Rattus norvegicus: one gene and its partner. The protein of the gene in region 1 purifies or fractionates together with the protein of each later gene. This does not show direct contact. Links are inferred from orthologs where the notes say so. Each region holds a gene or a part of one and is shown on either strand. Other genes may lie near its edges. The genes, in order: Fbxo7 and Psmb4.

Evidence for each region.
Region 2: the proteins of Fbxo7 (region 1) and Psmb4 purify together in Homo sapiens (affinity purification with mass spectrometry; 3 studies listed by BioGRID and IntAct, counting the BioPlex papers as one, with this or other methods). This does not show direct contact. The link is inferred for Rattus norvegicus from reciprocal best matches to the Homo sapiens genes FBXO7 and PSMB4.

What each region holds. Positions count from the first base shown.
Region 1 is NC_086025.1:19,722,204-19,726,715, reverse strand, and holds the start of Fbxo7 (F-box only protein 7), read left to right. Parts: upstream 1-1,535; 5' UTR 1,536-1,568; coding exon 1,569-1,690; exon of another isoform or gene 1,691-1,838; coding exon of another isoform or gene 1,839-1,875; intron 1,876-1,933; exon of another isoform or gene 1,934-2,107; intron 2,108-3,938; coding exon 3,939-4,233; intron 4,234-4,512. UniProt on the Homo sapiens protein: Substrate recognition component of a SCF (SKP1-CUL1-F-box protein) E3 ubiquitin-protein ligase complex which mediates the ubiquitination and subsequent proteasomal degradation of target proteins and plays a role in several biological processes such as cell cycle, cell proliferation, or maintenance of chromosome stability.
Region 2 is NC_086020.1:185,131,651-185,135,995, reverse strand, and holds Psmb4 (proteasome subunit beta type-4), read left to right. Parts: upstream 1-1,434; 5' UTR 1,435-1,459; coding exon 1,460-1,599; intron 1,600-1,721; coding exon 1,722-1,928; intron 1,929-2,143; coding exon 2,144-2,290; intron 2,291-2,800; coding exon 2,801-2,882; intron 2,883-3,490; coding exon 3,491-3,607; intron 3,608-3,842; coding exon 3,843-3,931; intron 3,932-4,093; coding exon 4,094-4,106; 3' UTR 4,107-4,209; downstream 4,210-4,345. UniProt on the Homo sapiens protein: Non-catalytic component of the 20S core proteasome complex involved in the proteolytic degradation of most intracellular proteins. This complex plays numerous essential roles within the cell by associating with different regulatory particles.

The DNA of each region.
Region 1 (4,512 bases):
CAACACATGTTTATCGATGCAGGCTAGTAAGCTTTGAAGGACATCAGATATGCGGCAAGAGGTTACTAATGCACCGTGCGACAACTGAAAGCTGTAACACGAAGGAGATAGAGGGGGTGGCTTCAAGTTTCTAAGAGCAGCGCCAAGGAAAAAATGCAGTAGGGATTGGTAATCCCACAGGAAAAAAGATCAGTCCTTCATGTCTGAGGAGAAAGACCATCAAACCCAGATCATCATGGCCATATTAATTAATGCAAGCTTATGTTTTGGTTTGTGAACATGGGCTGGACATAGGTAAGGTAAGGTTTTAATAGTTCAGGAGCAAGGGGGGTTTCCAGATGAGGATTTGGCAGGCGAATAGGCACTGATTACTGAAGCAGAACGCACGCACGCCAAGTTGGTCATGAAAACCTCTTGAAATGAAGACATGGTTTGCAAGGGGTTCACAGCGGGTTTGTCATAGCAACAGGTTGTCATAATAACCTTTTGTAATAAAGGCATGGGGCAGTACAGAGCCATTCGTAGTTATGTTTACAGGTGGGACATAGACCAATCCTTGAGAAGGAGAAATGTAATCATAAACAGGAATGGACCTAGTTTGCTTTTACTATAAGATGTCGTTTGAGCCTGAGATGAAGGCAGGCTGGTTTATCAAGATTTAACCTGGAAAGTGGAGAGCTATACTGTTGTGGCCTTCAAATCCATGGAGAGAGACCAAAGACTCAGGCTCAATTCAAATTTATATTAAGTGAGTTTATTCTTACTGCTAGCAGACGGCAGGCATCTTTAGAGCCAAAACAACATTCCATAGGGAGAAGGGGGGGGGCTAAGGATTAAGAGGGGGGTTTAAATTGGACATCAGAAAGGTGTATATTACAACTATTCACGAAATCCACAGCTGGGCAGGAAAACTGTTTTACTTTCCTCAATTGCTTCTTATCTTCCCTATGTAGTAATTAAAAGATCATTTCATCTGTTTCCCATAGCGATAGTGAGTTTTAAAGAAGCAAAGGCAGCTGTTAATACCTCACGGCCATTGTCCTATTCTTATCTCACCTGTAGGCCTCTAGGATCTCCCAGGCCGACAACAGCCCTTAAGGGATCCCTGGCTCCACATCCTTATCACCACAGGGGACCTATGTAAATTATAGGCAGGTCTGAGCACTAATGACCGGAATAGAACAGGCAAAACCAGGGCCATCAGGTTAGGGCGTCTGTCACGTCTGCACACTGTGGGCAGCGCTCGTTCCAGCGCTAAAGATCCTGCAAGCTGGGACCGAAAGAACGAACTCGCTCACCCGGGCGGAAGCGCACAGGGTGTAGCGTGGGCACTCGGCGCAAGGCAGCGAACTCAGCGCCTGCGCCGTGCGCGCCTCGCCCCCCAGGTGGCGCTGTCGCGCCCAGAGCCACCGATAGAGAAGCGCAGGCGCTCGGCACTCGGCTCGAGCAGAAGGCTCTAGGGGGCGTGGTGGAGAGAGCGGCGAGCTGGGATTCCTCAGGCGCGCAGGCCCGGAGCTACTTGCTTTCGGTTTCTCCCCGGGCCGACCGAGGCTTGCGGTCCGCTCACCATGAAGCTGCGCGTGCGGCTTCAAAAGCGGACCCAGCCGCTCGAGGTGCCGGAGTCGGAGCCGACGCTCGGGCAGCTGCGCGCGCACCTCATCCAGGACCTGCTGCCCACGTTGGGGTTCAGGTGAGCGGCGTCGCGGTCGCGGGGCTCGGGAATGGCGCGCGTCGGGCGGTCACATGAGGTCCGGGCCTCCGGGGCGTAGCTGGTCTAGACGCCTGTGACTGTGACGCTCGGCAGCTGAGTGCTGGCCGGGGTCTGGCTTTGGGAGACCATGGCCCAGCCTCCCCCTGGTGCCGCTGTCCACCATGGTGAGTAGTCACTTCCGGGTTGCTGTCACGGCCGCCCCGAGGGCGGGAGGGAAATTCGGGAAGCTTGGCTTGCGTTAAACCTCCCAGTGTAAACCCACTGTGGGTGGAATTTACCTTAGCGGTTAGGATACTTCAGTGGTTAAGTCGGGGAAAGCATCGTAGCTGAAGTGACAAACTTCTTGACATCCTACGTCGCTGTAATTTGTGCCACCGCCCAGGGCTACAGTAACAGGTGAGCGTGCATGTGCCAGACTGCACTTAACTGTAACTTTCTCACTGCAAGGTTTGGAAGTACGCATTCTTCGGGTCACTGGGCATTTTCTGGGTGAGAATGTTTGTTGCTTTTTCTCTAAAATAGAGGCTTGACCCTATAGAGCTTGCAGTTTTGTGGCAAGTTGAGAAAGGATTAGGTTCTATTACTAATTTATGGGGTTGCAGATGAAGCTTCTATGTTTCTGTAGAAGATATTTTCAGGACGTAGAGAGACAACTATATGGATGACCCATTTCAAGTGCTGAGCTAGAAATTTGAACTAGTGAAGAAAATAAAATTAGAAGATGGGCTCTGGTGCTTTTAAAGGGAAAAATGTTAAAAGAAAAACTCTTCCCGTTAATTGGCATTTTAAATAAGTCTTCCCCTTTTCACTTTATTTGTAGGGAATTAAGCAAAATGAAACTGATTAGATTGGTCACCCCCCCACCCCTCCCCATTAAGTAAGCCTGAGGTATACCTTTATTCTAGCGCTCTGGAGGAAGAGCTAGGTGTATCTTTGAGTTCATTCCGGACCAGCCAGTGTTACACAGTGAGACCCTGTCTAATAAAATAATGTTAGGCAAAATATTTTAAAAAGCCCTTTTTCACATTAAAAGAATTAAACAATGTATTCCCATATCGTATATTATATATATTTCCATATAATGGTGACCTACCTACATGTTACTCATTTGGTGTAAAACTGTTTTCTATGTTGATAACAATTGCCACTCCTCAGGCTTTGAGAATGCAATTTTTAAGGTATTTACAAATTGTATTACTTCTCAGTTAAGCTGGGCAGTTTTGAAAGGGTGTGAAACCCAGAAGCCCCTGTTAGTTTCTCTTGCCTGCTGTTTTCACAGTCGAGGTCGGTGTGAAAATCTGAAATTTTGCTCATTTGGGGTACAAAAGGGAAGCTTTAAAATGTGTCCATGTGACACACTTGTTGTTCTTAAAGAGTATTTTCTAAGTAAGCAAACCAAAGATTGGTATAAAACAGATTTTTTTTAAAGTTTGAAGCTTCCTCTTTCCTTTTTGTTTTTGTTTGGAGCTTCTAGAATTGCATTTTTTTTTGGGTGAAATTCCCCCAATGCCGGTGATTACAGAAAATAGGACCTTGGAAAAACATGCCAGAAAAGTGGGAGGGGAAGCTAGCATCTCTGTTAAACAGACGGCTCCTTATCTTGTCTACAGAAGGAATTGTTTGCTTGGGGACTGTCCCCTTTCCTGCCAAGGTTGACCTGGTGTTTTCATGGGCACTGGCAGATTTTCAGCTTCTTGCTGATCAGAACACTTTGCAAGCAGCAAGCAGAGCAGCTTACTGTCTGTGGAGTAGGAATAAATTTAACTCCAGTAACATCTTTAATTGATGAGAAAGGAAAGGATGCGTGTAAGAAAAAGGAATCGGGCTGGGGAGGTGGTGAAAGCTTTTGATGCCCAAGCCTGGCACCGGAGTTTGAAGTCCTCGCACTGATGGGAAGCCGGAAGTAAAGTGGTGTGTTAAGTTTAAGAAGCTCCTCGAGTTCAGCCATGTTGAAATACTGAAAAGTATATGCTCGAGGATCGATGAACATATGAATTAATGATAAGTATACCTTCCAGGCTATTGAAGTTTTAGTTAGAAGTCTGTGACCCAGGCATTTGATCAGAAGAACAAGTAATTTTGTCCCCTGCTTTCTTTCTTTCTTTCTTTTTTTTTTTATATTACATAGTGCTTTTGGGCACATAGCATGTACTTTAATGTATTCCAAATGCATTATTTGGAATATTGGTAGGTAGCTCTTACTATGCTCATCCGTCTTTCTTGGCAGTTCTGATACCCGATTTGCAATTACATTGAACAACAAGGATGCCCTCACTGGAGATGAAGAGACCTTGGCTTCATATGGGATTGTTTCTGGGGACTTGATATGTTTGGTTCTTGAAGATGAAATGCCGGCACCTAACTTACCTTCATCTACAGATTCAGAGCATTCCTCTCTCCAGAATAATGACCAACCTCCTTTGGCTGCCACCTCAAGCCAGGCTAACATCCCAGATGAACAAGGGAGTGATTCATCCCACGGACAGGTCACCCAATATGATGCCTGGACCGATGACAGTATGGTGGGTATTAAAGATGAAGAGATGGAATAGAGTAATTGATAAGGTATATTGACACTTCAGAGGAACTCCACACCGGTCAGGATGATTAGCATCAGTAAACTGTAGACTGCCCGTGGTGAACATGTTTGGTTTGGTTTGGTTTGGTTTGGTTTGGTTTGGTTTGTTGAGACAGGGTTTCTCTGTGGTACTGGCTGTTCTCTCTGCTCCTCACTCTATAGAGCAGGCAGGCCTAAAACTCAGGGCCTCTGCCTCCCAAGTACTGGGATTAAAGGCTGCACC
Region 2 (4,345 bases), on another chromosome or scaffold:
GGAGGGAAAGCAACAAGAGGAGGCAGGAAGAGGCAGGAAGAGGAGGCAGGGAAGGGAACTGGGATGGGCACCAGTAAGAGCAGAGTAAAATGACATCAAGGGATGAAAATGCTGTAATGAAACCCATTATTTTGTATGCTATTGGGGAGAGGGGGTGACATTGCTCTACTGCCTCTAGTTCACAGCGGATTTCTTTTTCTTTTGCTTAGGAAATGGGAAAGGTCATTTGACAACAAAGAAATGTTCAGTTTTGTCCAAGGTTTCACAGGCTGACCAATCTACCACCTGTTTCAGGAAGACATAAGTGTAGCATCCTTCCTTTAAAAGCACCAACTCATTGCTTTGTTTTACTCACTATTGTTGCATGTGTATGAGTTCAGGGTGAATGTGGAGGTCAGAGACAAACATCGAGAGCTGATTTTCATCTTCCAAGGAGGCCCAGGTGACTGAACTCTTCTGAATGTAGTATTTGGCTAGGAAGCACTTTTACCCCTATCCTGACTTCCCTTTTAAATCAGGACCTTTCGGTTGTTCAGTTTGGCCTGGGCTCGGAATGTAGTCCAGAATGGCCTTGTACTGGAGGCACTCCTTCTGTTTCAGCCCTCTAAGTACTAAGATGAGATTCATTCTCTCTCTCTCTCTCTCTCTCTCTCTCCCTCCCTCCCTCCCCCCCACCATCCCCCTGTCCACCTCTCCCTCCCTTGTAAGTGCCTGGTGCCCTCGGTGTCTTGAAGAGGATATCTGTAACTGGAGTTACAGATGGTTGTCAGCCACCGCGTGGGTGCTTAGATTCGAACCTGAGTGCTCTTAACGTGAGCCGTCTCTTCCGCTTGGTTTGTATCTTTTCTACCCTCTATTGATTGTAACGGGGGAAACCACTGTATCTCATGCATCGGCTTCTTATCTATCGAATGGGTTGATAATTCCTGCTACTTGGGGCCTGCTTTGAGAAGTAAAGCTATTAAGTGAGCTTGGGTTCAGAGATTCTTCAAGTTTTGTGAGTACACGGTCGCTGTCTTCAGACACACCACAAGAGGGCATCTGATTCTATTACAGATGGCTGTGAGCCACGGTGTGGTTGCTGGGAATTGAACTCAGGACCTCTGGAAGAGCAGTTAGTGCTCTTAACTGCTGAACCATCTCTCCAGCCCTCAAGTCGAGTTTTGGATACTGATCCAAACAGGACGTGATAACAGGTCCTGGTGCTTGTCCCACGCGGCCTGCTCCTCCTGAGATGCTGAGAGGCATCCCTACTGCAGTGGGACGAGGACGCGACGTTGCACTTCCATCAGTCTTAGCGGTTACTCTGGATCAAGACTCCCCAAACCGCCTCATTAATACAGTGCCTCTGAGTCTTCGCGCAAGGAAGTGGCAGACAGGAAGAAGAGGGGCGTGGCAAACGACGACTTCCGCTTCCGGTGACGGGAGCGCTTTCATTTTTTCGGCAGTGGTGACTAAGATGGAAGCGTTTTGGGAGTCACGGACTGGCCACTGGGCCGGGGGTCCGGCTCCGGGGCAGTTTTACCGCGTCCCGTCCACCCCCAGCTGCCTCATGGATCCGATGTCTGCGCCCTGCGAGGGTCCCATCACTCGGACCCAGTGAGTCGCGCTCTAACCGCGCAGGGAAGGGGCGGCGGGCCGGGACGTGGGGACCTGCGGTGCGAGGGCCGCCGCAATCGGGGCGCCGGCCTCCGCGCTCAGAGACCCTTTTCATACTTCAGGAACCCCATGGTGACTGGGACATCCGTACTAGGGGTGAAGTTCGACTGCGGAGTGGTGATTGCTGCAGACATGCTGGGCTCCTACGGCTCCCTGGCTCGTTTCCGCAATATCTCTCGTATTATGCGAGTCAACGACAGCACTATGCTAGGTGCTTCAGGAGACTATGCTGATTTCCAGTATTTGAAGCAAGTTCTCGGCCAGATGGTGTAAGTCGTCTCCATGTGAATCGGACAACCTTCCGTTTATTATTCCCGTAGGTGGGATGGAGGGACTTGAGACTTTCGGTAATTGTTGAGACACATGTGAATGTTTGGAACACTTTTTGGAATTGGGGCAATCTGGGAGTGTAGAACTGCGTGTAGAACAGGAGTGGGTGGGGAACCTGTCGGTTATCACTCCTTTCTCATCCAATTGTATTTAGGATTGATGAGGAGCTGTTGGGAGATGGACATAGCTATAGTCCTAGAGCTATCCATTCATGGTTGACAAGGGCCATGTACAGTCGCCGCTCCAAGATGAACCCTCTGTGGAACACCATGGTCATTGGAGGCTATGCTGGTGGAGAAAGGTATTTGATGACTTCCTTGACCGCCTAAGCTAGCACCTATGTAGTGTCTCTTCAGTCTTTTCTTTTCTTTTTTTTTTTCTTTTTTTTTTTTTTTTTGGTTCTTTTTTTTGGAGCTGGGGACCGAACCCAGGGCCTTGCGCTTCCTAGGTAAGCGCTCTACCACTGAGCTAAATCCCCAGCCCCCTCTTCAGTCTTTTAAACTGTTTTTTTCCTCCTTTTTTTGTGCCCCACCCACCTTTAAACTGTTTTTTTACACTTCTTTTGGTATGTGTGCTTGTGTACTACAGTGTGTGCATGTGCGTGCACGTGTGTGTCAATCTCTTCTATATTCTGAATTCTAAGGATTAAATTTGGGTCATCAAGCATGGTGGCAAGTGCTTTTACCCACTGAGCCATCCAGCTTCCCTACCCTCAGATTCTTTGAGCCCAGAGAACTCCCATCTTTTAATTCTCATGGTCACATAAGAAATATAAGATTAAATGGATTCTTTGATCTGTTTGTCCCTCTAGCTTTCTTGGTTATGTGGACATGCTTGGTGTAGCTTATGAAGCCCCTTCACTAGCCACTGGTTATGGTGCATACTTGGCTCAGGTAAGTAGTGGGCCTAGCAACAGGGAAGAGAGAAATAGATGAGAAGCCAATGTTAGTCTATTTCCCTTGGAGTTCTGATAAGAGACAAGCTGGGATCCTAAGGCTGGGCAGCTGGTTTTCTTTGTATAAGGAGAATATGTTTACATTACCTTCCAGTGACAAGAAACAGTGATGGGAAGAATGGCCTTGTTACAGAGTAGAAGCCCTAGGACTCCCCTCTTTAAGAGGGTCTTAGCTGTACACTCTGTAGTAGTAGTGCACAGGAGACTGGGGCCAGGAGGACTGTGTGTTCCAGACCAGGCTCCATAGCAAGACTCCCATTTCAAAAACAAAACAAAGATTCTTTGGGTTGAGGCACTTGCTGCCAAGGCTGACAGCCTGCCTGGGATCACCATGGAACCAGCACCTCAGCTGTTTTCTCACTTCTGTATGCATGTGCACACACCCATACAAAAGAAATGTTGGACAAAAAGGCCAGCACCCAGTTCTTTTGAAACAGTGGGGAGAAAACTGTCATTCACTTTGGTGCCTGTTGACGTGGGAGGGAGCAGGTTGCCTTCTGTTAAGCCAGTGTCTTAATTTCTCCAATTCTTTGCCTGCCTCTGTAGCCTCTGCTTCGAGAAGTTCTAGAGAAGCAACCGGTGCTGAGTCAGACAGAGGCCCGAGAGCTTGTGGAGCGCTGCATGCGAGTGCTGTACTACCGAGACGCTCGTTCGTATAACCGGGTGAGAAAGGGGCTGCAAGGTATAAATTCTGGAGTTAGGCGTGGTGCTGCATGCCTAGTCCCAGCGCAGAGGTGGTGGGACTCTGCATTTGAGGCGATTTTGGTCTACATAGTGGGATGCTGTCCTAAAAACTAAAGTGCAAATTCTGGGACCACTGTTTTGCAAATGAAGGACAGCCTTCTGTTTGATCTTTGTCCGGACTGGGGTTTTCATTGCTCGCTTTGCCTTCTTGCAGTTTCAAGTTGCTACTGTAACTGAAAAAGGTGTGGAGATAGAAGGACCACTGTCAGCACAGACCAACTGGGACATTGCTCACATGATCAGGTAACTGACCTGCAGGAGATGGGCAGAGCAGGGAAGCTGTTGGCTTTCCCAGAGCTGTCCCTTCTGGAGGGCTCAAGCAGAAACTCTGGGTGGTTTTGGGGGGAGCTCCTTCAGAAGCTGAGACCTTAATACTTCACTTTTCCTAAATGTTTCTTTTTTTAGTGGCTTTGAATGAAATCCAGATGAAGTGTCCAGAGTTGAAGCTTGGCCCTTGTGAACGTGACTGTAGCTGGCTCAAAGGCAGACTTTTGTAAAAATAAATCAGTCCTTTGAAGTGTTGCTGAGTTGGGTTTTTTGTTTTGAAACAGGATCTCACTATATAAAGCCCAGGCTTACCTGAAACTCGGAAATCTGTCTGCCTCCGAAATGCTAGAGGTAAAAGCTTCTGCCATGCCTGACAATTCAGTGTTTTCA